6 linked regions of the Xenopus tropicalis genome follow. The protein of the gene in region 2 purifies or fractionates together with the protein of the main gene of each other region. This does not show direct contact. Links are inferred from orthologs where the notes say so. Each region holds a gene or a part of one and is shown on either strand. Other genes may lie near its edges. The genes, in order: copa, copb1, copg2, copg1, copz1 and cope.

Region 1 (3,500 bases), on a different chromosome or scaffold from region 2:
TACCCAGTGGTGAGTGCGTATTTGATATGGTTGCTGGTCGTGTAGATGAAAACCCCGCTCTCGTCCCAGGCACCGCTCTTGACACGGATATTTTCATGGATGTTGCAGAGGGACTCCAGCTTTCTATTGCAGATCATAATGGCTGAGGAAGAAAAAAAAACAGAGGATGAATTCAAATATCAAGAGTTTGCATCTCCCATAAGCTCCTCTCTGCCTCTCTGCTCTCTCCAACAGTCCTATAAGCCTGATCCTTTAGGGGCAAAGAATAATGCTTCCCTTGGTGTTAAATAGAGACACTCTCCTGCAGAGCATAAATGCCCCCCCCCCCCCCCCCCCCCCCAGAAAAAAAAAAAAGCGCAGCAGCAACTAGCCCAGCCTTTTATAAAGCTTACCATGCTTGGCAAGAAGAGCCACGTGGGACATGTCGGAGGACCAAATGACATACTTCACTTTGGAGATCTTCACAGATGCCAGGGTGCTGCAATGGATAGATATACACAGATTGCTTGGTATCTGTGCCTGTGTGATGCACCCTTTGTTTTGCCACCAACTAAGCCCACCAATTTGCTGTCTGGCAAACTCTTCCCTATTTAGACAATTAAGTCTCAATCTAAACGTGTCTTCTATGAAAACCCCACTCAAAGGAACAGTTCAGAGTAAAAATAAAACTGTGCTAAATCAAAAATGTTTCTATTATAGTTAGGCAAAATTGTAATCTATAAAGTCTGAAGTGGACAGATGTCTAACATAATAGCCAGAACACTACTTCCTGCTTTAAGCTCTCTAACCTCTTAGTTAGTCAGTGACTTGAGGGGGGCCACATGGGACATAAGGCTCACTTAGTATGCTTTTGAATCTGATCTGCGTGCTAAGGACCAAAAGCAAACAGTTATGTCCCATATGGACCCCCTCTAGTCATTGATTGGTTACTGGCTTTTTACAGATTAGAGAGCTGCAAAGAAGGAAGCAGTGTTCTGGCTATTAAGTTAGACATCTGCTCACTCCCAGTCTTTATAGATTACATGTTTGCCTAACTATTTTGAATACATTTTTACACATAATGGTCTCCATATAACAGCACTGGCAAAACTGCATGACTTGTATACCCCTAAGAAAACCTGGCGGTGCAACTTACCGCTTCTGCTGCACATCAAATAGAGTGATGGAGTCGGAATCCCGGAGCAGCAGGTTCCCAGTGCCGGCATAGAAGATCTCATCACAGTTGGGCACCTGGACCTTCTTGGTGATCTCATTCTTCAGGTTCTTGATGAGAATCTACAAGAAGGGGAGAAAGGCAAAATAAGTGGCAGAAATGGAAGCAAGTTGTAAGCTAAAAGCAGAATGTTTTATTCTACTTACAGAATGCATGCGATCCAGGACGGCAAATCTATTCCGTGCCACCCACACTGCAGTCAGACCAGAGGATCGCTTCCCTTCAGGGGCTGAGCAGAGGAACATTATCAGCAGATGCATCAAAACAGGACTGTAAGGGCCTCCAATGGCCTCTAATCTTTATTTATAGCTTACCATCGGGATTCTGGGAGTCGGTATCCTTGGGGATGGTGTACAGGTCATAAGTGCTGTTCTCCAGGTTGCTGGCTCTCTGTTACAAGAGATTTGAAGTGTAAGAAAAATAAAGGAACCCATAGTACATGTCTCCCTGGACTGATCTGGATGGTTGTCATGCCTATTCTTACCGTGCAAAGCAGGACGGAATTTTCAGCTGGGTTGTACGACATATTGAACACAGGGAACTTGGAGCCGCTGTAAATATAAGAGACACATAGGATAAGTAGCAATTTTGTATGCTTGTAGTTAATTTGGCCAGATCAGTTGCACTTCCATTGTATTTGTATACTCTATTTAGCCTTGGAGTGCTCCCACAACCCCTTTCTGTGTATTTACTGTATGTATTTTAGCAGAGTTATTCTGCAGGAAGAATGGCCAAACTTCCATGTGGGTTAGCAGCCCCACACCCGTCCCTTTTATGGTGGGCTTATGCCTTTCATAAAATGGGTGTTGGTTAATAGGCAGTCTTCTCCTTTACAAGCCGCAGGCGGGGGAGGATTAAGCCTGTAGAACCAAGCTGTGGTCCTGCCAATCTCTCTCTTTAAAAGCAAAAGGTATGGGAGTGACTAAGCCCTCTGACTCAAACCAGCCTTTGAAAAATATGACCAGAGGTAAATAGATAGGACCACCATACGGGGTTTACCTTGACGGGGTATGGGGGCTTACCAATCTTATGGTCATAATTTTGTAACTAAAAACCCCTGTTTTTGTAAATACACGCACTAGCATAGACAATTTACTTATGAAACAGGGGACCAGGGAATGTGCATTGATCAATCCCCCTCTCTTTTTGTATACTTGTAGTTAATTTGGCCAGATCAGTTGCACTTCCATTGTATTTGTATACTCTATTTAGCCTTGGAGTGCTCCCACAACCCCTTTCTGTGTATCTAAGTAGCAATTGGCACTGCACTGGGTGGTTTGTTTGCAGAAGGAAAAGCTCAGATGACTATCTGTATCTCCCACATTCTCCTTCCTAAACTGAATTTCCTAACCCAGTGCATCATATACAGTGACCCAGTCTAATCTTGAGATTGTCTATATCAGCAGAATGTTAGTATCTCCTTAATCACAGTCTCACCTCCTTAGCTGCATAACAGCCACATCCTTGGAGCTGTTAAAGTCCAACTGGCGCAGGAATCTGTCCTTCACATAATACAAGATATTGCCGTGCACGGCATAGGCGGGACGCTCTCGTTCCAGCTTGAATACAATCATGCCACCGTCATGCCCTGTGCAAGGATAACATACAAGAGAGGGTTCCATTAGTAAAGGAATCTGCTTTGGCATTTTCCGTGCCATCTGGACATCACTTTCTGCAGATTATGCTACTGCACAACTGGGGTATTACCTGCAGCAAACAGGTTAAGATTTGGGTGGGCGGCCAGTACCCAGAAACGGTCGTGGTCTCTGCGGAAAGTCTGGACTCCAGTCCTGTAGATGAGAGAGAAATTTGAACACGGTCAGTTCTGACTATATCCTAAGCCAAGAATGGAGCTATAGCCCCTGGATCCCGGTGTCTATAGCCAATGCACTCTAACATCGGCAGCAAAAACCCAACAAACAAACCTGACCAAAGTGTCTCACCTTTTGGACATATCCCACACTCTAATGCTTTTGTCTTCGGAGTTACTGAGAATCAGCTCTTGGCGGGGATGAAAGACGGCGCACGAGACGTTGTTGTAATGACCGCGGCACGTGTCCACTTCCCAGGCTTTGGACTCTGCGCGGGAGAGAGAATCGCCAGTCAGTTATAGCACATATGTAGCCTGATATGGACACTCTGCTGCCAAACAGGATTTAAATAGAGCAATCACAGAGTACAAAAATATAGGAGTGAGGGGAGTCAAGTGTATGACTTCTGTTGAATATATGGATCCAGGAAAGATGGACACTATGTTGAAAACTACTGTCTAGAAGCCTTGGCCCTG
Region 2 (3,952 bases):
ACCAGTGCAGGAATGGCTGCCCCCGGGGCTACACAGCGGGGTATTTATATAAACTATAGTAGGGTTTCTGTAGCAAACACCCCAGCTGTACCAGTGCAGGAATGGCTGCCCCCGGGGCTACACAGCGGGGTATTTATATAAACTATAGTAGGGTTTCTGTAGCAAACACCCCAGCTGTACCAGTGCAGGAATGGCTGCCCCGGGGCTACACAGCGGGGTATTTATATAAACTATAGTAGGGTTTCTGTAGCAAACACCCCAGCTGTACCAGTGCAGGAATGGCTGCCCCCGGGGCTACACAGCGGGGTATTTATATAAACTATAGTAGGGTTTCTGTAGCAAACACCCCAGCTGTACCAGTGCAGGAACGGCTGCCCCCGGGGCTACACAGCGGGGTATTTATATAAACTATAGTAGGGTTTCTGTAGCAAACACCCCAGCTGTACTGGTGCAGGAATGGCTGCCCCCGGGGCTACACAGCGGGGTATTTATATAAACTATAGTAGGGTTTCTGTAGCAAACACCCCAGCTGTACTGGTGCAGGAATGCCAATGTCCCTGAATATAATATCAGCTTTCCTTGTCCCTAGTGAGAGTCTAACCTAGAAGGCTGCTGCATGCTGAACTGGATTCTGTGCAGCCCTGTATCAGACCATACATAGCGCTATATGAAATCAAGGGAATCCTGAGCCAATCAGTGATTAACAGATTGACTGCAAGTTCCGGGTTTCTTTCTATATCCTGCTTCTATTTTGCCGGTAAAGTTTGCGTTCCACTAGAACAAGATACTTCCTGGATCATGCGTTTCAGCAGCAGGTTACGCCCCCTCCCATAAATTGAGTTTCCGGTTATCGTTGCGTTTCACTAGAGCAAGGTACTTCCTGGATCATGCGTTTCAGCAGCAGGTTACGCCCCCTATAAATTTCGTTTCCGGGTTGCTGGGCCGCTCACTTCCGCGGTTTCTCAGGAGTCTGTCAGTGACGTAGCCTTTCCGGGATTTGCGAGTGTTCTGGCCCTCCCCGGCTTCCGTACGATTGAGTTGGACTGCGCTCCGCTAGGCGCTTCCACGTCACCCAGAGAGCGCTCAGTGTCCCTGGTACGGAGTGAGCCCGGAGCCGCAGGTAAGGCAGCGGGAACTACCCCCGCCAGGGGCAACTGCTTGACTTACCTCCTACCATAGAATCGACCCATTGGCCCTGCGCTAAGCTGCTGTTATTGCCCTGAGGTAGGTAGGTGCCCGGTACGTGCATGGCATGTCCTACCTGTGGGGAACCTACCCCCCCGGGGTATCTATGGGCGAACTGCGGGAGTTTATGCGACAGAAGTGGTGGTTTTAATGCCCTGGGGCAAAGGTGGGTAAAATACCAGGGTATTTGGGGTATTAGGAGTTAATGCCCTGGGGCAAAGGTGGGTAAAATGCCAGGGTATTTGGGGTATTAGGAGTTAATTCCCTGTAGCACAGGTGGGTAAAATACCAGGGTATTTGGGGTATTAGGAGTTAATGCCCTGTAGCACAGGTGGGTAAAATACCAGGGTATTTGGGGTATTAGGAGTTAATGCCCTGTAGCACAGGTGGGTAAAATACCAGGGTATTTGGGGTATTAGGAGTTAATGCCCTGTAGCACAGGTGGGTAAAATACCAGGGTATTTGGGGTATTAGGAGTTAATGCCCTGGGGCAAAGGTGGGTAAAATACCAGGGTATTTGGGGTATTAGGAGTTAATGCCCTGTAGCACAGGTGGGTAAAATACCAGGGTATTTGGGGTATTAGGAGTTAATGCCCTGTAGCACAGGTGGGTAAAATACCAGGGTATTTGGGGTATTAGGAGTTAATGCCCTGTAGCACAGGTGGGTAAAATACCAGGGTATTTGGGGTATTAGGAGTTAATGCCCTGTAGCACAGGTGGGTAAAATACCAGGGTATTTGGGGTATTAGGAGTTAATGCCCTGGGGCAAAGGTGGGTAAAATACCAGGGTATTTGGGGTATTAGGAGTTAATGCCCTGTAGCACAGGTGGGTAAAATACCAGGGTATTTGGGGTATTAGGAGTTAATGCCCTGTAGCACAGGTGGGTAAAATACCAGGGTATTTGGGGTATTTGGACTTAATGCCCTGTAGCACAGGTGGGTAAAATGCCAGGGTATTTGGGGTATTTGGACTTAATGCCCTGGGGCAAAGGTGGGTAAAATCTCATTCTGGGGTATTTGGAGTTAATGGCCCGTGGAAAAGGTGGCAAATATTTAGTGGTGTATTTAGTGCTAATGCCATGTAGCAAAGGTGGATACATTCCCCTTACTGGGGTATTTGGTGTTAATACAGAGATGGGCAGAGATCTCTTGTTGGCAGCGACCCTTCTATAGTACCCTCTGATAAATACAGTGCCAATTCCATGTATAATACCCCAGAACCCACAGCAGGATAAATACAGTGCCAATTCCATGTATAATACCCCAGAACCCACAGCAGGATAAATACAGTGCCAATTCCATGTATAATACCCCAGAACCCACAGCAGGATAAATACAGTGCCAATTCCATGTATAATACCCCAGAACCCACAGCGGGATAAATACAGTGCCAATTCCATGTATAATACCCCAGAACCCACAGCAGGATAAATACAGCGCCAATTCCATGTATAATACCCCAGAACCCACAGCAGGATAAATACAGTGCCAATTCCATGTATAATACCCCAGAACCCACAGCAGGATAAATACAGTGCCAATTCCATGTATAATACCCCAGAACCCACAGCAGGATAAATACAGTGCCAATTCCATGTATAATACCCCAGAACCCACAGCGGGATAAATACAGTGCCAATTCCATGTATAATACCCCAGAACCCACAGCAGATAAATACAGTGCCAATTCCATGTATAATACCCCAGAACCCACAGCGGGATAAATACAGTGCCAATTCCATGTATAATACCCCAGAACCCACAGCAGATAAATACAGTGCCAATTCCATGTATAATACCCCAGAACCCACAGCAGATAAATACAGTGCCAATTCCATGTATAATACCCCAGAACCCACAGCAGATAAATACAGTGCCAATTCCATGTATAATACCCCAGAACCCACAGCAGATAAATACAGTGCCAATTCCATGTATAATACCCCAGAACCCACAGCAGATAAATACAGTGCCAATTCCATGTATAATACCCCAGAACCCACAGCAGGATAAATACAGTGCCAATTCCATGTATAATACCCCAGAACCCACAGCAGGATAAATACAGTGCCAATTCCATGTATAATACCCCAGAACCCACAGCGGGATAAATACAGTGCCAATTCCATGTATAATACCCCAGAACCCACAGCAGGATAAATACAGTGCCAATTCCATGTATAATACCCCAGAACCCACAGCAGATAAATACAGTGCCAATTCCATGTATAATACCCCAGAACCCACAGCGGGATAAATACAGTGCCAATTCCATGTATAATACCCCAGAACCCACAGCGGGATAAATACAGTGCCAATTCCATGTATAATACCCCAGAACCCACAGCAGATAAATACAGTGCCAATTCCATGTATAATACCCCAGAACCCACAGCAGATAAATACAGTGCCAATTCCATGTATAATACCCCAGAACCCACAGCAGATAAATACAGTGCCAATTCCATGTATAATACCCCAGAACCCACAGCAGATAAATACAGTGCCAATTCCATGTATAATACCCCAGAACCCACAGCAGGATAAATACAGTGCCAATTCCATGTATAATACCCCAGAACCCACAGCAGGATAAATACAGTGCCAATTCCATGTATAATACCCCAGAACCCACAGCGGGATAAATACAGTGCCAATTCCATGTATAATACCCCAGAACCCACAGCAGGATAAATACAGTGCCAATTCCATGTATAATACCCCAGAACCCACAGCAGATAAATACAGTGCCAATTCCATGTATAAT
Region 3 (3,500 bases), on a different chromosome or scaffold from region 2:
CTTGCAGACCAGCAGTCCACATGGGGCTACCAAATAACCACAGTCCTTATTTAAAATCCCCAAAGAGCTTTTTTCAAGCTTGTGTGGCTCACCAACACCTTTTACATCTGAGTGTGGCTCAGAAGTTTGGGAAAATGGAACTTCAATAGTTAAAGGTTAACATTAAAAATAAGTGCCTCGGTTTACAAATAATAAATGTAAAGCAGCCTTCAGTAATCTAGATGTTAACGATTCAAATTACCCCAAACCCTACTGCACTGGAGTTCTGGAGGTATATCTCTGCAACATCCTAATAAGTAGTTTAAGTTTACTATAGCCGTAGTTTAAGTGTAATATAGCTACTATTAAGTTATGTTTACTAATAAATAATTGAGGTTATTACTTAAGCAAAGAAAAAAGGAAGAAAGAAAAAATAATGGTGGTATTCTTACCTGCTCTGACGGCTTCATTCTCTAATACCACCCTGTTAAAGATGAAACGAATGTACTTGGAGGGTGTGGGTGTTTTTGGCCCTTCTCTTCCCAAAAGATGCAGAATCTTGGTAGCCAGAACTGTGTGCTCACAGTCCTCAATAAATTCACACAGGTGAGCAAGGCCAGATTCTTTGCTGTCTGGGTTCTCTTCTATGATGCTAATAATGCAGTCCACAATGGCACGCTTGTATTCAAAACCTCCCTGCATATGAGAGTGTGTGTAGTTTAGCATACTTGAGCATTTTGAGCTAGGAACAAGACACTATTTAAACAGAAAATTAATTATCTTATGGCCATTTACTAATTTTTTTTTTAAAGAGAACTAGTTCTACTGGCAAGAATTGCCAAGTAAATCTATGACTAACAATTAACACCCCAAATCACCTATGGATAGACAAGAGGTAGTAATGTGTCTATTTATGCCCGTGCATGTATTAGAACCCAACAATCCCAACAAATATCCATGTGCTATGGATGTTGGTCAGATACTTGGTTGCGCATGTTTGTAAACAGGCTGGGCTGAACAGTGTATGGCCTCATTTACTATGAAGCGAAATACACTGCTCAAAAAAAATAAAGGGAACAGAAAAATAAGACATCCTAGATCTGAATGAAATATTCTTATTAAATACTTCGTTCTTTATCTAGTTGAATGTGCTGACAACAAAATTATCAATGGAAATCAAATTTATCAACCAATGGAGGTCTGGATTTGGAGTCACTCTCAAAATTAAAGTGGAAAAAAACGCTACAGGCTGATCCAACTTTGATGTAATGTCCTTAAAACAAGTCAAAATGAGGCTCAGTAGTGTGTGTGGCCTCCGTGTGCCTATATGACCTTCCTACAACGCCTGGGCATGATGAGGTGGCGGATGGTCTCCTGAGGGATCCCCTCCCAGACCTGGTCTAAAGCATCCACCAACTCCTGGACAGTCTGTGGTGCAACGTGGCATTGGTGGATGGAGGGAGACATGATATCCCAGATGTGCTCAATTGGATTCAGGTCTGGGGAACAGTAGGGCCAGTCCATAGCATCAATGCCTTCATCTTGCAGGAACTGCTGACACACTCCAGCCACATGAGGTCTAGCACTGTCTTGCATCAGGAGGAACCCAGGGCCAACCGCACCAGCATATTGGTCTCACAAAGGGTCTGAGGATCTCACCTCACTACCTAATGGCAGTCAGGCTACCTCTGGCGAGCACATGGAGGGCTATGCTGCCCCCACAAAGAAATGCCACCCTACACCATTACTGACCCACTGCCAAACCAGTCATGCTGGAGGATGTTGCAGGCAGCAAAATGTTCTCCACGGTGTCTCCAGACTCTGTCACGTCTGTCACATGTGCTCAGTGTGAACCTGCTTTCATCTGTGAAGAGCACAGGGCGCCAGTGGCGAATTTGCCAATCTTGGTGTTCTCTGGCAAATGCCAAACGTCTTGCACAGTGTTGGGTTGTAAGCACAACCCCTACCTGTGAACGTCGGGCCCTCATACCACCCTCAAGGAGTCTGTTTCTGACCGTTTGAGCAGACACATGCACATTTGTGGCCCTCTGGAGGTCATTTTGCAGGGCTCTGGCAGTGCTCCTCCTGTTCCTCCTTGCACAAAGGTGGAGGTAGCGGTCCTGCTGCTGGGTTGTTGCCTTCCTATAGCCTCCTCCACGTCTCCTGATGTACTGGCCTGTCTCCTGGTAGCGCCTCCATGCTCTGGACACTATGCCGACAGACACAGCAAGCCTTCTTGCCACAGCTCGCATTGATGTGCCATCCTGGATGAGCTGCACTACCTGAGCCATTAGTGTGGGTTGTAGACTCTGTCTCATGCTACCACTAGAGTGAAAGCACCACCAGCATTCAAAAGTCATTGAAACATCAGCCAGAAAGCATAAGAACTGAGAAGTGGTCTGTGGTCACCACCTGCAGAACCACTCCTTTATTGGGGATGTCTTGCTAATTGCCTATAATTTCCACCTGTTGTCTATTACATTTGCACAACAGCATGTGAAATTAATTGTCAATCAGTGTTGCTACCTAAGTGGACAGTTTGATTTCACAAAAGTGTGACTGACTTGGAGTTACATTTTGTTGTTTAAGTGTTCCCTTTATTTTTTTGAGCAGTGTATATACAGTATGTTTATAATATATTGTGGGCTATTCTACTTCTAAGAACACCAAAGGGTTTTGTTAACTATTGTTAACTAGTTTACAAGCAGTGCTCGTAGGTACCACTTGTAAAAAGTTAATAGTAGTTAATAAAGCCCCTTAGATTTAATAAATTATTTTCCTCTTTGAAACAATTGCCTAGATCATAAAACCCTTGTGCAAATCGCAGATGGAGAGCAACAATTTAGACAATTATTCCAACATGGACCAGTGCTGTGTACAAACACCCATTGAAAATTCCTGTGTTTGACTGCTCATACGAGACACAAATTGGCACATCAATATACTTTGATTAATGTATAAATCCAGAAATCTTTTCTTGAGTCAGAAAAGTACTGTTAAATTGCAGAAAAGGTCACAGCAGAGAAACCCATTTTTAGTCTATAAACTAGTCAGAGGTCCAAACTGTCTGAATTGATCACACACTGCATATACCATCAGATCCTTTTTGTTTACTTGAAATATGATTTCTGACCAGAATTTTCAACCCAGCCAAACTATAGCATTCAATAAGTTATCAATTCATCAGTTTGCCAGGCCTCCAGTGACCTAGCCAACTGACATATGCTCTGATCTGTGCATTTATCTGTCTATTAGGCCATCTATATGAAGTTAAATTGGTACTGGATTGGTCACATAGGGGATTTTATACAATATATGCCACCCTTAGTACAGAGAATTTTAATATCAGTAATTAACAATGAAATGAAAGTATTTTGAAAATATACAAATATAAAATCATATGTACATAATCCATATTTACAATTCTGCATCATTATAACACACATAATATCAATCTATTTGGCATATCAGGGTAACACCAACAGAGGATACTTTGGGTACTATAAGCATTACGACTTTAA
Region 4 (4,253 bases), about 130 Mb from region 2:
TCCAGAGCAGAAAGCCCCATGAGCACCACAAACTCATTGAATGGGGGGAGGAAGGTCCAGTAGGGCCTGGGTTTTCCTATGGCCCAAAAGACTTGTTTTGATACCTGACAACCTCTAGCATTTTGAAAACATTCCATCCATTTGGACAAAGATCTCTCCAATTCTACCCTGAATCATTAACCTTGCAAAAAAAAAAAACTTTAAGGGCTGTAACAGACGGCAAGATTAGTCACTGCACAACAAATCTCCCTTGTCATGGGCGACTAATCTCCCCGAAAAACCATCCCACCGGCTAGAATGTAAATCGCCAGTGGAATGGCATATGTGGTGCCACAATTTCCCAAAATCGCCGAAGTTGTCTTGAGAGGAAACTTCTGCGATTTCGGGGAATCGCGGCGCCGCGTATGCCATCCCACTGGCGATTTACATTCTAGCCGGTGGGATGGCATTTCAGGGAGATTAGTTGCCCACGACAAGGGAGATTTGTCACAGGCGACTAAACTCCCCATCTGTCACAGCCTTAAAGAAGAACTAATAGCATTTTTTAATTCTACCCCTGGAGGACGTCTCCCTCCACCCTACCCAATACTGTGGGGTTGGAGGACACCTTCTTGCAGTGGCACAAAGTGACAGCCAGGGCCCCACCCTACCTGCGGTGCTAATTTTGGAACAGGTAAGGCAAATAGGGCAGTATTGAGGGGGCACAGTGTGCATTAAGGATTGCCACCTTTGACCTCAGCAAAAAAACAGACAAAATGTTGGGATGATGACATCAGAGGCAGAGCGGTGACATAAGAGGGTGCAGATGTGATATTTGGAAGTGTATTTGTACATTTTGGGGGCAGGCCTTGACATCAGAGGTGGTTAGTGGCCAGATTATTGTTTTGGTTTCACAAGGCTGAATCCCAGACAGTTAAGATCCAAATAGCCCTAAGTAAAGCTGAACTGTGCAGGTCAACAATAAACAAGTGGCAACTCTATGTGCATGTCAAAAGAGGAGAGATCCATTCCATAGGTACTACTTATAAAAATGCTTTTATTTGCCTTTATTTAAACGTCAAAATGAATAATACAATTACACAAGAATCCTGCCTCCCTGTACGAATATTGTGATTTATATTTACCTGTAAAGCATTAAAAATCTGAATACATATTAGAAAGTTGCTTAGAACTGTATTTCCTTTCAACAGGCCAAGTTTTATTTTTGGGCTTACATCGTTTTAGAAAGTTACTTGGACTTCCAAGCAACTTTCTAAGGCGATGTAAACTCAAAAATAAAAACCTATTTTGCCTGGCTCATACTTTTCCTCGAACTTCCGGTGTACATTTGTCCCTTATTGCGTGCGCTATTCACAAGCAGTTCCGGTTTCAATTCAGTCGCTTCCGCTAACAGTGCGCATGCGTTGAACAAGCATTTACCGTTCTAGGCATGCTCTGTCCGCGCCAATCGCACTGCTTGTTAGTGCGCATGCGTAGGTTACGTTGTCAGGAGTGACGTGTCCCGGTGACAGCCTGGCAGGAAGTGGCCTGGTTCTGACTGAGGGGCAGAGATGCTGAAGAAGTTCGATAAAAAGGATGAGGAGTCGGGTGAGTGATATGGGGGGTTTGCACTATTGTGTCGCGTTTTATTTATTGCCCTTATATGTCTGTTTAAATGGCGAACGCTGTCACTGGCCCACACCGGCAGCAGGGAGTGCATGGTACTCAGGCCCCTGGCTCTGTGTGGGGATACACTGGCAGCCATGCAAAAGGCAGAACCCAAGAGGGACGGGTTGTGCAGTTCAGTGGAATCCAAGCCCGTGTCTGTGACCTAGGAAGGCATCAGGTGTGTGCTACACTGGTAGAACAGCTGGACGGGGCCCTAGCGTTACTCTAATAACTCTCACAATACCTATACATCGGGTCTACACCAGGAATCCCATAAAGCCTGCTGGGATTGGTCGTTTTAATAAGAAAGGCCATATTGGATATGTCTGTTCTAGGGCATTCCTTCATGTTGTAGGAGTTACTATATATTTAATTCAGAGTATTGGGGAGCCTGTACCCAGTGTGCTAGTAACAATGTAAATTAAAGCTGGAATACTGGCCGTGCCCTTGTGTTTTAGAGCCACCACCTTATTCTGTTCTTGGCAGTCCATTACACTGCTGCCCATAAGGTGCATCTGTTTGCAAATGCAGCCCCATGCTAGTTAATGGGTATGCTTTGAATCATATTAACCCCCCGATACCAATAGGTTATAGATATAAAACTGTATGTGGGAAAAATGCCTTGTGAAAATTTGCATGCCGAATGCACACGTGCAAAATGGGCGCAGGGTGTAAACATAAAATGGCATGGCCTAATCCATTTAGAGAGAAGCAGGTATGGTTCAGCTCTGTATTATATGTTGTATTTGCCAGGGCTGAGTAATTAAGCACCTTCTTTAAAGGTGCCCATACACAGGCCGACTATAGCTGCCGATATCGGTCCCTTGGACCGATTCGGCAGCTAATCGGCCCGTGTATGGGCAGAACAGAGCTGCCTGGCCGACCAATATCTGGCCTGAAATTGGCCAGATCTCGATTGGCCAGGTTAGAAAATCCGGTCGGATCGGGGACCGCATCGGCTCGTTGATGCGGTCCCCGAACCGACTGCCCCATAAGCTCAAATGTAATCCGATTGTTGAACAATCGGATTATTTTTTTTTCAAGTCCCTTGCTACCCGATATCGCCCACCCGTAGGTGGGGATATCGGGTGAAGATCCGCTCGCTTGGTGACATCGCCAAGCGAGCGGATCTTATAGTGTATGGGCACCTTAAGGCTGAAGTTATTTTAGTGATATTCCGTCCATATGTTTGTACATCAATGTAAGAGCTCTGTGTTTGTTGCCATCAGCAACTGCACCGCAGTTTTGTATGTGCTGTTTATCATTTGTACTATTTTATTATAAATTTAAGAATGTTGCAGTTTTCCTTAAGGCTTTTTATCTCCCATCAGCATCTAGATATATTATTATTTAACCAATAAACAAAAGTCTCTTCCATTGTACATCAAAGAAGCCAGCAGGGCTGTGGAGTTGAAGTCGGAGGCAATTTTGAGTACCTGGAGTCCGCGGCAATTTTGAGTACCTGGAGTCGGCAAAAAATGAACCAACTCTGACTCCTACTAAATTTAAATGGGAATAAAAAAAAAAAAAGCAAGTTTAAATGTCCCAATTCACAAACAGTCATAATTAATTACTTCTCTGCTATAAGAATAAAGCCCAATGCAGAGCCAGTAGTTCTGTGGTTAAATGACATGTATGTCTCCTTCCTTTCATTCAATGAATGTATAAAATACATTAGCATATTAAAAACAGTCGGAGTCGGAAGTATCAGAAACTGAGGAGTCGGAGTCGGAGAATTTATCTACCGACTCCACAGCCCTGGAAGCCAGTACTTGTATGATCTAGGTCCTATAATGACGCCTGTGGATACCTTACTGAAACTACCCTGATATTGTCATCAGTAATTAATGGGCCGCATACTGCCAAGTAGGCCTCTGGGTGGTGAGCCATGACAGCAAATAGAATGGGGCTTATTGCCGCTTATCTGCATCAGCCACACCCCTTTATGCCAAAACCTCACCGATAGTATGAACAAACCTTGCCCACTCCATGTTAGACTCACATCTTCATGTTGGGTACCCTTCTACCATAGGGCCCCTGATAGGATTACCTCTCATGGTGGCCCTGAGTAGACTTAGTATAATTTACTTTTCAATTGGTCTTCATTATCTATGTGTTTGTATGTTTTTTGTTTTTTTTTTCTCTTTCCAGCCTACAACTAAAAAAATGTGGTGTGGTAGTCACTTAACTTTGACACTGTAACCAGATACACTGTGCAGTTTTATTGCTCTTTTTTCTTTTTATAGTGTCTAGTATTTATTTCAAGTTTGATTTTAAAACATAACTTAATTTTGTGTGCAGGTCAGACTGGGGAAGTACAGGCCTCCTCTGCTTCAGAAGTGTTCCTCTCTTAAAACCAGAGGCGCACTCAGAAGTAGTGTACGGAGTGGAAAGACACTGGTACAGGTTGGGTGCGGGTCCTACAATGGCAGTATTTTATGACTTGGGGTCAGGGTGGAGCTTTTCCTGACCTGCTCATTATTAATGCATGCTGTGGGCTAGGATTAAAACCAACCTACTAATCAACCCAAGTGTAGAAAGCCTGAAATCACTACATGATTTGCAATACATTATTTGCATTTATTTAAATAATGTGCCTATGTTAT
Region 5 (3,500 bases), on a different chromosome or scaffold from region 2:
AGAATCGCTCCGTTGTTGAAATCTCTTGTAATCACTTGTTAGGAAAAGACAAGTGAATTGTCGCTGGAACTTGCTTTTTAAAAGTCACAGCGACTAAAACACAGGGCAATAAAAGCTTGCAAAATCAGCTTGATATCAACTGGGCATGTTAGCAAGTTTGTATTATTATCCAGTGTTTGGCCTGGGTGCCAAATGATAAGAACTGCTCAATTTGGCCAGAAGAAGTGGCAAATTTGGGAGAAGATCCAGTCTGTCAATGTATGACCAGATTTTTCCATGTTTTTGTACTCTGCTTAAACCAATGTGTGAAGACCTACTTGGCCAGTAGAATACTGTGAAATTAACCTTCATGGCTAAGATTGATCATTTATTCATAATTATAAATCCATTATTAAACCTAGAGATTCAAAATGATAAAACTGATCATAAAGTGGTCCCCTATTGCTATTAATGATTAGGAGACCCATAAAAGCCTGGCGAGGCAATTAGGCTACACAACCTTTTTAATATTGTTACAGATCTCTTGCGTTACTATGCATCAACTGACTGATTTTTAATAATTTGAAAGAGCCACTAAAAGCCGCTTGGGGGTCAGTACCTAGGGCCATAGCTGTTTCGTAGTGGTTCATTCTGCTGACCTCTCAGGTTTAGCTAGGAGCTTTAAGTAACATTTCTTTGTTTCTACTGAAATATGATTAGTGCTGGAATTACTGATTGATTTCAGCTAACATCAGTTGGTGTAACTTTTATGTAGGAGCCCATCACACTGGAGCAATCCTCTGGGAAAAGTTGGAAGTAAATTTTCACTGTGTTCTTGCTGATAATGGAAGCCCCCTAATGTTTATCCATGCAAATAACATCTACAGTTTTTTCTTGTGTAAAAATATAGAGTATATTATGTTTTTACAGCAAAAATGTCGAAAAGCGAACCCTGCTTGAGAATATGGAAGGACTTTTCCTGGCAGTTGATGAGATTATAGATGGAGGGTAAGATGATTTACTTACCCATTGCACATTTACAGCTTCCTGAGGGCTTTTCTTTACCAGATTATACATATAGGCAGTTGCAAACTAGCATGCCCAGGGCCCACCGTAAGTGCCATATCAAGAGCCCAATCCCTCCTCACTGGTTCCCTTTACCGGTAGAGGCAATCCCTGGCCAGCTGACATATCCAGGGAGTTGGGGCCCATCTATTTTTCTCCTGGTGCCCTGGTAGGCCAGTCCCACCCAGAATATAGGTTTCATCTTATAAATGGTCCAATTTATCCTTGCAACCAGGCAGGCGGTTTCAATGAGTGATACAGAATTGAATAGAATTGGGCCTGAACGATACATGATAAATAGTAATAATAACCATAGCTTCACAGAGCAATAGTTTCTTGGCTGGCTAGTCTCGTAACACACAACAAACAGTCAAGAGGGACATATATGAAAAACAAGAATGTGCCAGTGCATTGTACTGCTCAAAATATGTGCTTTAAAAAGATGTGTTGGACTGATATTTTTAAAAAAAAATTTTTGCGAAAAGCCTGCTATTCACGCCCATCTGTTCCACTTCCTGCTGCCTCCTTTCCCAGGCTGTGCAGGGGAGTTGGCTACTCTCAGCACACTGCACGGTAGGATAGGAACCAATCAGCAGCTAGGCTGACCTGATAGGGAACTGAAGCCTGTCTTTGGTTGTGTGCCTGCAGGGCTGTTATTGGCTATCCCCCTTTTACTGTGCTTCTGGCAGGGACGGTTAGAACATGCCCACCCCTCATTTGAAACAAGGAGGGACCTGAGAGGAACTATAGGGAGCTCCAATAAAGTGATCTTTTTAAGGTAATTTTCAGCCCAGAGTAAAGCCAGCACAATATATTATTCATTATTGCCTACAAGATTGCAAGCCTTTTTAGTTACACTATATGTCTCCTTTTAAAAAAGAGGCAGAAGAGAAGGTAAACCAGTTGAAAAGTTGCTAAGAACATGACATTCTGCAACATACTAATAGTTAACTTTGTGAGCAATGACATACAGGGAGATTTGTTGCCCGCAGTAAAAATGTGCTACAGTGGGACAAATCACCGAAAAATGCCATCCCCCTTTGCTAACATGAGAAACACCGCAAGTAAATTACATTACTCGCAGGGATTTGGCTTAATGTTTAGGAAATAGATATGGCAAGTTAAAACATCCTATGCCAGAGCATGGCAATCTTTTGGCCCCTCATTGCATTAATTTCTGTTTTCTTTCAATACATATAGAGAAACCACTGGGTATATATATTGTATATGCTCAGCTTATTGGCCTATGTTTAAATGCTGCTTTGTATCTTAGTGGGAGCCAAGTGGTTAATATTTTAGCATGCACCTCATAGTACTTCAGATTCACAAATGAAGACCATAAAATCATTCCATTATTGTAAACAGAAATGTTAATCTGGAACTTGTACATTCTCCGTCTGTGCCTGTTTTTGTTTGACTTGTGATTGTGCAGCAGTTACTATCATAGCGACTCTATGAATGGAACGCTTTCTAACGGTGCCATTACTGCGTAAGTGCCACTCTTTTTCTGTGTAATGACATCATTATCAGTGATTCCATTCTGGGGGTGCTGCAGTCTGAACAGCAGGGCCGTGGCTATTAAGAGGTAAAGGAATTGTCTTTAGCTTAACTGTCTGTGTACTTCAACGTAATGGTGTGCTGCTCACAAATGGTTAATATAAGGGTGTGTGCAGTTTTGTTCAACTATTTCCCTTGTTTCTTGCAATGCAGAGTCATACTAGAGAGTGACCCTCAGCAAGTGGTTCACCGTGTGGCACTAAGGGTAAGTAGAAATGTGTGGCACTTCTGGGGATAAAAACAGTGCTTACGTGCTCGAGGCTCCATATAGGTTTGGACTGGGATACAAAATAGGCCCTGGCATTTCAAGTCCACTAAATAGTGACTGTCTATGCCATCTTACAGCAGCCCCTCTGGCATTTGCCACAATCCACAGATTGCCAGTCTGGGCCTGGCTTCATAAGCCATGAGAACATTAGGGTTGTTTGTAGATTGGGGGGTGGGTCATTGTGACTAAAAGAAAGTTACTGTTGTATCAACTTATTATAGTCTCTTCCAAACACAATATTTACACTGTAAGCTCTTCTATGCAGAGATTGTTGCTGTAACTGTTCTGTGTCTGTGCTGTATAGACTGTCTGGTATACTGTAATACATTTTTAATATAATTAGCATAATTATGAATGTGCTCTTATAGCTTGTGATATCTTTCCTCTTACATACATACATACATACATACATACATACATACATTATTCTGAAATTCTGCTGGAGCTATAGAAAAACATGTTCTAATCATTTTATATAGTTTTACAATGCAGGGTGTAGCAGAGCATCTAACCAGGTCATGCTCTTTTAGAGCCTAATGCCAAAAAGTACAAGTTGTACTAGAGCAGCCCTTTCTTAGTGCACTGGGTGAATTGTTTTCTGGGCAGCAGTGAAGTGGTTAAGACCCTTGCC
Region 6 (4,070 bases), on a different chromosome or scaffold from region 2:
GCTGTTTTTCCACTGCCAGTCTTTGCACATCCCATGCAGTCTCGGCCTAACAGGACATCAACTTCATGAGTTCTCAACAAAATACAATACATTTTCTGTGCAGATGTTAATGGATAGTTGACCTTTTACCAGGTGGCTTTTTTCCTCTGATACATAATCAGATACATTTAAATCTGCAAACAGCATACACACGCAGACCCTTATTCAGCATACATTTCATCAATAATACAGGCTCACAGAGGCAGAACTGTCTGATAAACGTTCTGCTTTGTTTGAGCTGAGCTCAGGAGAGAAAGTTAGGAGAAAAAATTGAAGCAGACAGCTAGAGCTGAGTTTCTATGGGAACCAGCAATGCCATCTCTTCACTGGCTGCTAGACTGGAGGGCGTATTTTGTAATCTGAGTTTAGTACAACTGAGCATGTCTGGCAAGGCAGGAATCAAAGCAAATTCCCAAGGGGGGGGGGGCGAGTGGGTTACAGGAGGAGAAGGAAATCTAAGTGATTAAGGGGATGTTGCAGCCTTACTATTAACCTCTGGACAAGCAGAGTGGCAGGTATTGAAAGATTTCAAAGAGGCTGTTCACTGATTAAATTTTTGTGTGTGGGGTTTACATGTCCTTTAGATGAATGCAATTATTATGAATCGAACTTAGGTACAAGCAAAACTGTGCACAATATATTTATAAATAGGAATGTAACTATGGAGGAAACTGACGCTTCAAGAGACTGCCGGGGGGCCAGAAGGTAAAAGGGGACCAGTGGGACAGTGACAAAAAAGAAGATTAATACATTTAAATTAAATCTTACTCCTAAATGTTAGGGTTCCCGCAAATTTAGCGCTGCTTTCCTTTAACATATAGTTATGCCATTTACCTTTTGATCACTGGTTTTTCAGATGATTTGTAACACTTATGTAGATGACTTGCTCACCCTGGACAACTCAGATAATCTGCCCCCTTAATCGCGAAGAATCATATTCGCATTCACTAATCTCACCTTCCAGGATGGGCGGGATGCAATTCTCCTGTACAGGACTAGGTTTCAATATGCCCAGTTGGCTACATTGATCGATAAGCCAGGAAGACAACCCAAGCCTCGAAAACCCTTCCATCTTGACACGCGTGATAGCCACTAGCAGCACATTCCGGCGCACAAACTAATGCGTCACACAACTCGCCCTTCTATTGGTCCTTACGGGAACTGACCTTTGGTACTACATCTCCCGCCATGCCTTTAGCTGAGAGGCGGAAGTCGGTAAAGGAAGGCGGAAGTTGTGGAAGCTGGCCGGCTGACGTGTCCGGGATATACAGAAATGGCTGCACAGGGAGAGGTGGACGAGTTATTTGATGTGAAGAATTCTTTCTATATTGGAAGTTACCAGCAGTGCATTAATGAGGCGCAAAGAGTAAAGGTGATTTAACGATTACAGCAAACTGGGTCAGAGAGGCGTGGAGTTATGGCTGAAGGGATATGGATAGTGGACATAGCAGCAATCTTTTTAAATTGGGCATACGTATTGAACAAATATAACGACAGCATGCATGACTGAATCAGGCACAATAACATCTATTATTTTTCTCATGCTAACAATCTGAGGTAAGATGGATAATCAAATAGTAACGTGGGAATATTTTATTTTACAGCCTTCAAGTCCAGAGAAGGAGGTGGAGAGAGACGTTTTCCTGTTCAGAGCATATATAGCCCAGGTGAGAGAGACTCTGTATTATAATCATACATTATTCTCACCCAGCTGTCATTAGTATTGTGAATGTAGCCTTTTTTCCTCCTGCACGTATACCTATAAGTAAAAGAAGCTTTTTATTTCCTCCTGCACTTATACCTATAAGTAAAAGAAGCTTTTTATTTCCTCCTGCACTTATACCTATAAGTAAAAGAAGCTTTTTATTTCCTCCTGCACTTATACCTATAAGTAAAAAAAGCTTTTTATTTCCTCCTGCACTTATACCTATAAGTAAAAAAAGCTTTCTGTTTCCTCCTGCACTTATACCTATAAGTAAAAGAAGCTTTTTATTTCCTCCTGCACTTATACCTATAAGTAAAAGAAGCTTTTTATTTCCTCCTGCACTTATACCTATAAGTAAAAGAAGCTTTTTATTTCCTCCTGCACTTATACCTATAAGTAAAAAAAGCTTTCTGTTTCCTCCTGCACTTATACCTATAAGTAAAAAAGGCTTTTTATTTCCTCCTGCACGTATACCTATAAGTAAAAGAAGCTTTTTATTTCCTCCTGCACTTATACCTATAAGTAAAAAAGGCTTTTTATTTCCTCCTGCACGTATACCTATAAGTAAAAGAAGCTTTTTATTTCCTCCTGCACTTATACCTATAAGTAAAATAAGCTTTTTATTTCCTCCTGCACTTATACCTATAAGTAAAATAAGCTTTTTATTTCCTCCTGCACTTATAACTAAGTAAAAGAAGCTTCTTATTTCTTCCTGGTCTTATGACCTTTTATTTTCCACATGCAGCGCAAGTATGGGGTTGTTCTTGATGAAATTCGGCCAAATACCAACCCTGAATTACAGGCTGTCCGAATGTTTGCAGAGTATCTGTCCAATGAGAGTCGCAGGTATGTGCATTCTACATCTCCAGGGGGCAGATTTATCAAAATTTGAGATTAGAGCTCACTACAGAAAAATTCACTTTTTATTCATTCCTATGGGATTTTTAGAAGCATATTTATCAATGGGCTAAAGTTAGAACTCACCTTTTGATAAATATGCTTCTAAAAATCCCATAGGAATGAAAAGAACATGGGTGAATTTTTATGTATAAATCTTTGAACTCCCATTTTGATAAATCTGGCCCTATGCCTCTCCGTTATATTGTCCCACTCTGTGGCTCTCACCAGAACAACTGGCATATGGCTACTACCAGAAACTCGCTTGACCCTATACAACTAAAACGGTTACCAGATGTGATCATTTGGGTTTCAAGAAATGAGGTCTAGAACCATTGCACTCCCTATAAATATATTAACTTTAGGGGGCACATTTACTAAGACATTTTAAGAAACAGTTGATTTTTGTTTTTTTTTTTTTTACTTCTGTTGAGATTTACGAATGGGTTTTTGCCAGTGCTCGATTTTTCTGATATTGTTTCTCGAAAAATTCTAGTTTTTCAGAAATTTTCCCTGATAAATTTGAGTTTGTCGAAAATAACTCCCATTTTATAAATACAACAATGATCAAGTTTAATTCGAGTTTAATTAGAATTTAAACCATGTCGAGTTTATACTACTTTCAAGTCCAGAAAAAAAAAAAATTTTATTAAATCATTCCCTAAAACTTTTAGGGGAGATCCAACCACAAATAGTAAACAGGTTGGCTTTTCAGAGTCTTCAGATTGGGGAGGGCATATACCAAACTTGTAGAGGGCAAGAACAAAAATCTATATCATAGGCCAGGCTCATATAAACTTAATTTACTAATTAGAAGAAACATTACATCAGCTTAGCTTGATGCATCAGGATAAGTTATGTGACTTTTCTTCTTAATGATTATTTTTTTGAGTGGAGGACACTTTTTTCAGTATGTGCCTTCTGCAAGTGTTGATACATCTGCTTTTAACTTTCATACACTACCGTAGGCTCCCCTAATGGGTTGTGCTGTATAACTGACTATTAGATTTATCAGTGTAGTAAGTAAATGAGAAATCTGGGTATTATATCTGACCAAGCTTAAAGGACAAGGAAAGGCAAAGTCACTTGGGGGTGCCAAAATGTTAGGCACCCCCAAGTGACTTAAATCGCCTACCTTTTACCCCGGGCTGGTGCCCCTGTTCGGGGAGAACAGCACCAGCCCGGGGTAGCTGCAGCGCTTCCTGCTTCGCGTGTTTGTGCATGAGCAGTCGAGTGAAAAAGCTGAACTTTAACAGAGAAGTTGAATTTTTAATCTACTGCGCATGCGCCGGTCGTGGGGTCCCGGCAAAAGGAAGGAGGAACCGCTCGCTACAGGTACCCCGGGCTGGTGCTGTTTTCTCCTAACAGGGGCACCAGCCCGGGGTACAAGGTAAGCAATTAAAGTCACTTGGGGGTGCCTAACATTTTG

What was found.
Region 1: the proteins of copb1 (region 2) and copa fractionate together in Homo sapiens (co-fractionation; 6 studies listed by BioGRID and IntAct, with this or other methods). This does not show direct contact. The link is inferred for Xenopus tropicalis from reciprocal best matches to the Homo sapiens genes COPB1 and COPA.
Region 3: the proteins of copb1 (region 2) and copg2 purify together in Homo sapiens (affinity purification with western blotting; 4 studies listed by BioGRID and IntAct, with this or other methods). This does not show direct contact. The link is inferred for Xenopus tropicalis from reciprocal best matches to the Homo sapiens genes COPB1 and COPG2.
Region 4: the proteins of copb1 (region 2) and copg1 fractionate together in Homo sapiens (co-fractionation; 11 studies listed by BioGRID and IntAct, counting the BioPlex papers as one, with this or other methods). This does not show direct contact. The link is inferred for Xenopus tropicalis from reciprocal best matches to the Homo sapiens genes COPB1 and COPG1.
Region 5: the proteins of copb1 (region 2) and copz1 fractionate together in Homo sapiens (co-fractionation; 8 studies listed by BioGRID and IntAct, with this or other methods). This does not show direct contact. The link is inferred for Xenopus tropicalis from reciprocal best matches to the Homo sapiens genes COPB1 and COPZ1.
Region 6: the proteins of copb1 (region 2) and cope purify together in Homo sapiens (affinity purification with mass spectrometry; 6 studies listed by BioGRID and IntAct, with this or other methods). This does not show direct contact. The link is inferred for Xenopus tropicalis from reciprocal best matches to the Homo sapiens genes COPB1 and COPE.

What each region holds. Positions count from the first base shown.
Region 1 is NC_030684.2:137,310,124-137,313,623, reverse strand, and holds part of copa (coatomer subunit alpha), read right to left. Parts: intron 3,293-3,500; coding exon 3,157-3,292; intron 3,004-3,156; coding exon 2,921-3,003; intron 2,802-2,920; coding exon 2,651-2,801; intron 1,765-2,650; coding exon 1,698-1,764; intron 1,604-1,697; coding exon 1,528-1,603; intron 1,443-1,527; coding exon 1,360-1,442; intron 1,276-1,359; coding exon 1,136-1,275; intron 479-1,135; coding exon 393-478; intron 143-392; coding exon 4-142; intron 1-3. UniProt on the Homo sapiens protein: The coatomer is a cytosolic protein complex that binds to dilysine motifs and reversibly associates with Golgi non-clathrin-coated vesicles, which further mediate biosynthetic protein transport from the ER, via the Golgi up to the trans Golgi network.
Region 2 is NC_030680.2:3,433,440-3,437,391, forward strand, and holds the start of copb1 (coatomer subunit beta), read left to right. Parts: upstream 1-1,152; 5' UTR 1,153-1,224; intron 1,225-3,952. UniProt on the Homo sapiens protein: The coatomer is a cytosolic protein complex that binds to dilysine motifs and reversibly associates with Golgi non-clathrin-coated vesicles, which further mediate biosynthetic protein transport from the ER, via the Golgi up to the trans Golgi network.
Region 3 is NC_030679.2:86,709,329-86,712,828, reverse strand, and holds part of copg2 (coatomer subunit gamma-2), read right to left. Parts: intron 676-3,500; coding exon 432-675; intron 1-431. UniProt on the Homo sapiens protein: The coatomer is a cytosolic protein complex that binds to dilysine motifs and reversibly associates with Golgi non-clathrin-coated vesicles, which further mediate biosynthetic protein transport from the ER, via the Golgi up to the trans Golgi network.
Region 4 is NC_030680.2:135,688,518-135,692,770, reverse strand, and holds the start of copg1 (coatomer subunit gamma-1), read left to right. Parts: upstream 1-1,453; 5' UTR 1,454-1,550; coding exon 1,551-1,587; intron 1,588-4,253. UniProt on the Homo sapiens protein: The coatomer is a cytosolic protein complex that binds to dilysine motifs and reversibly associates with Golgi non-clathrin-coated vesicles, which further mediate biosynthetic protein transport from the ER, via the Golgi up to the trans Golgi network.
Region 5 is NC_030678.2:145,576,885-145,580,384, reverse strand, and holds part of copz1 (coatomer subunit zeta-1), read left to right. Parts: intron 1-909; coding exon 910-987; intron 988-2,754; coding exon 2,755-2,806; intron 2,807-3,500. UniProt on the Homo sapiens protein: The coatomer is a cytosolic protein complex that binds to dilysine motifs and reversibly associates with Golgi non-clathrin-coated vesicles, which further mediate biosynthetic protein transport from the ER, via the Golgi up to the trans Golgi network.
Region 6 is NC_030677.2:112,615,111-112,619,180, reverse strand, and holds the start of cope (coatomer subunit epsilon), read left to right. Parts: upstream 1-1,270; 5' UTR 1,271-1,312; coding exon 1,313-1,411; intron 1,412-1,643; coding exon 1,644-1,706; intron 1,707-2,489; coding exon 2,490-2,590; intron 2,591-4,070. Other genes in the region: probable ATP-dependent RNA helicase DDX49, read right to left, coding at 1-46, 997-1,111. UniProt on the Homo sapiens protein: The coatomer is a cytosolic protein complex that binds to dilysine motifs and reversibly associates with Golgi non-clathrin-coated vesicles, which further mediate biosynthetic protein transport from the ER, via the Golgi up to the trans Golgi network.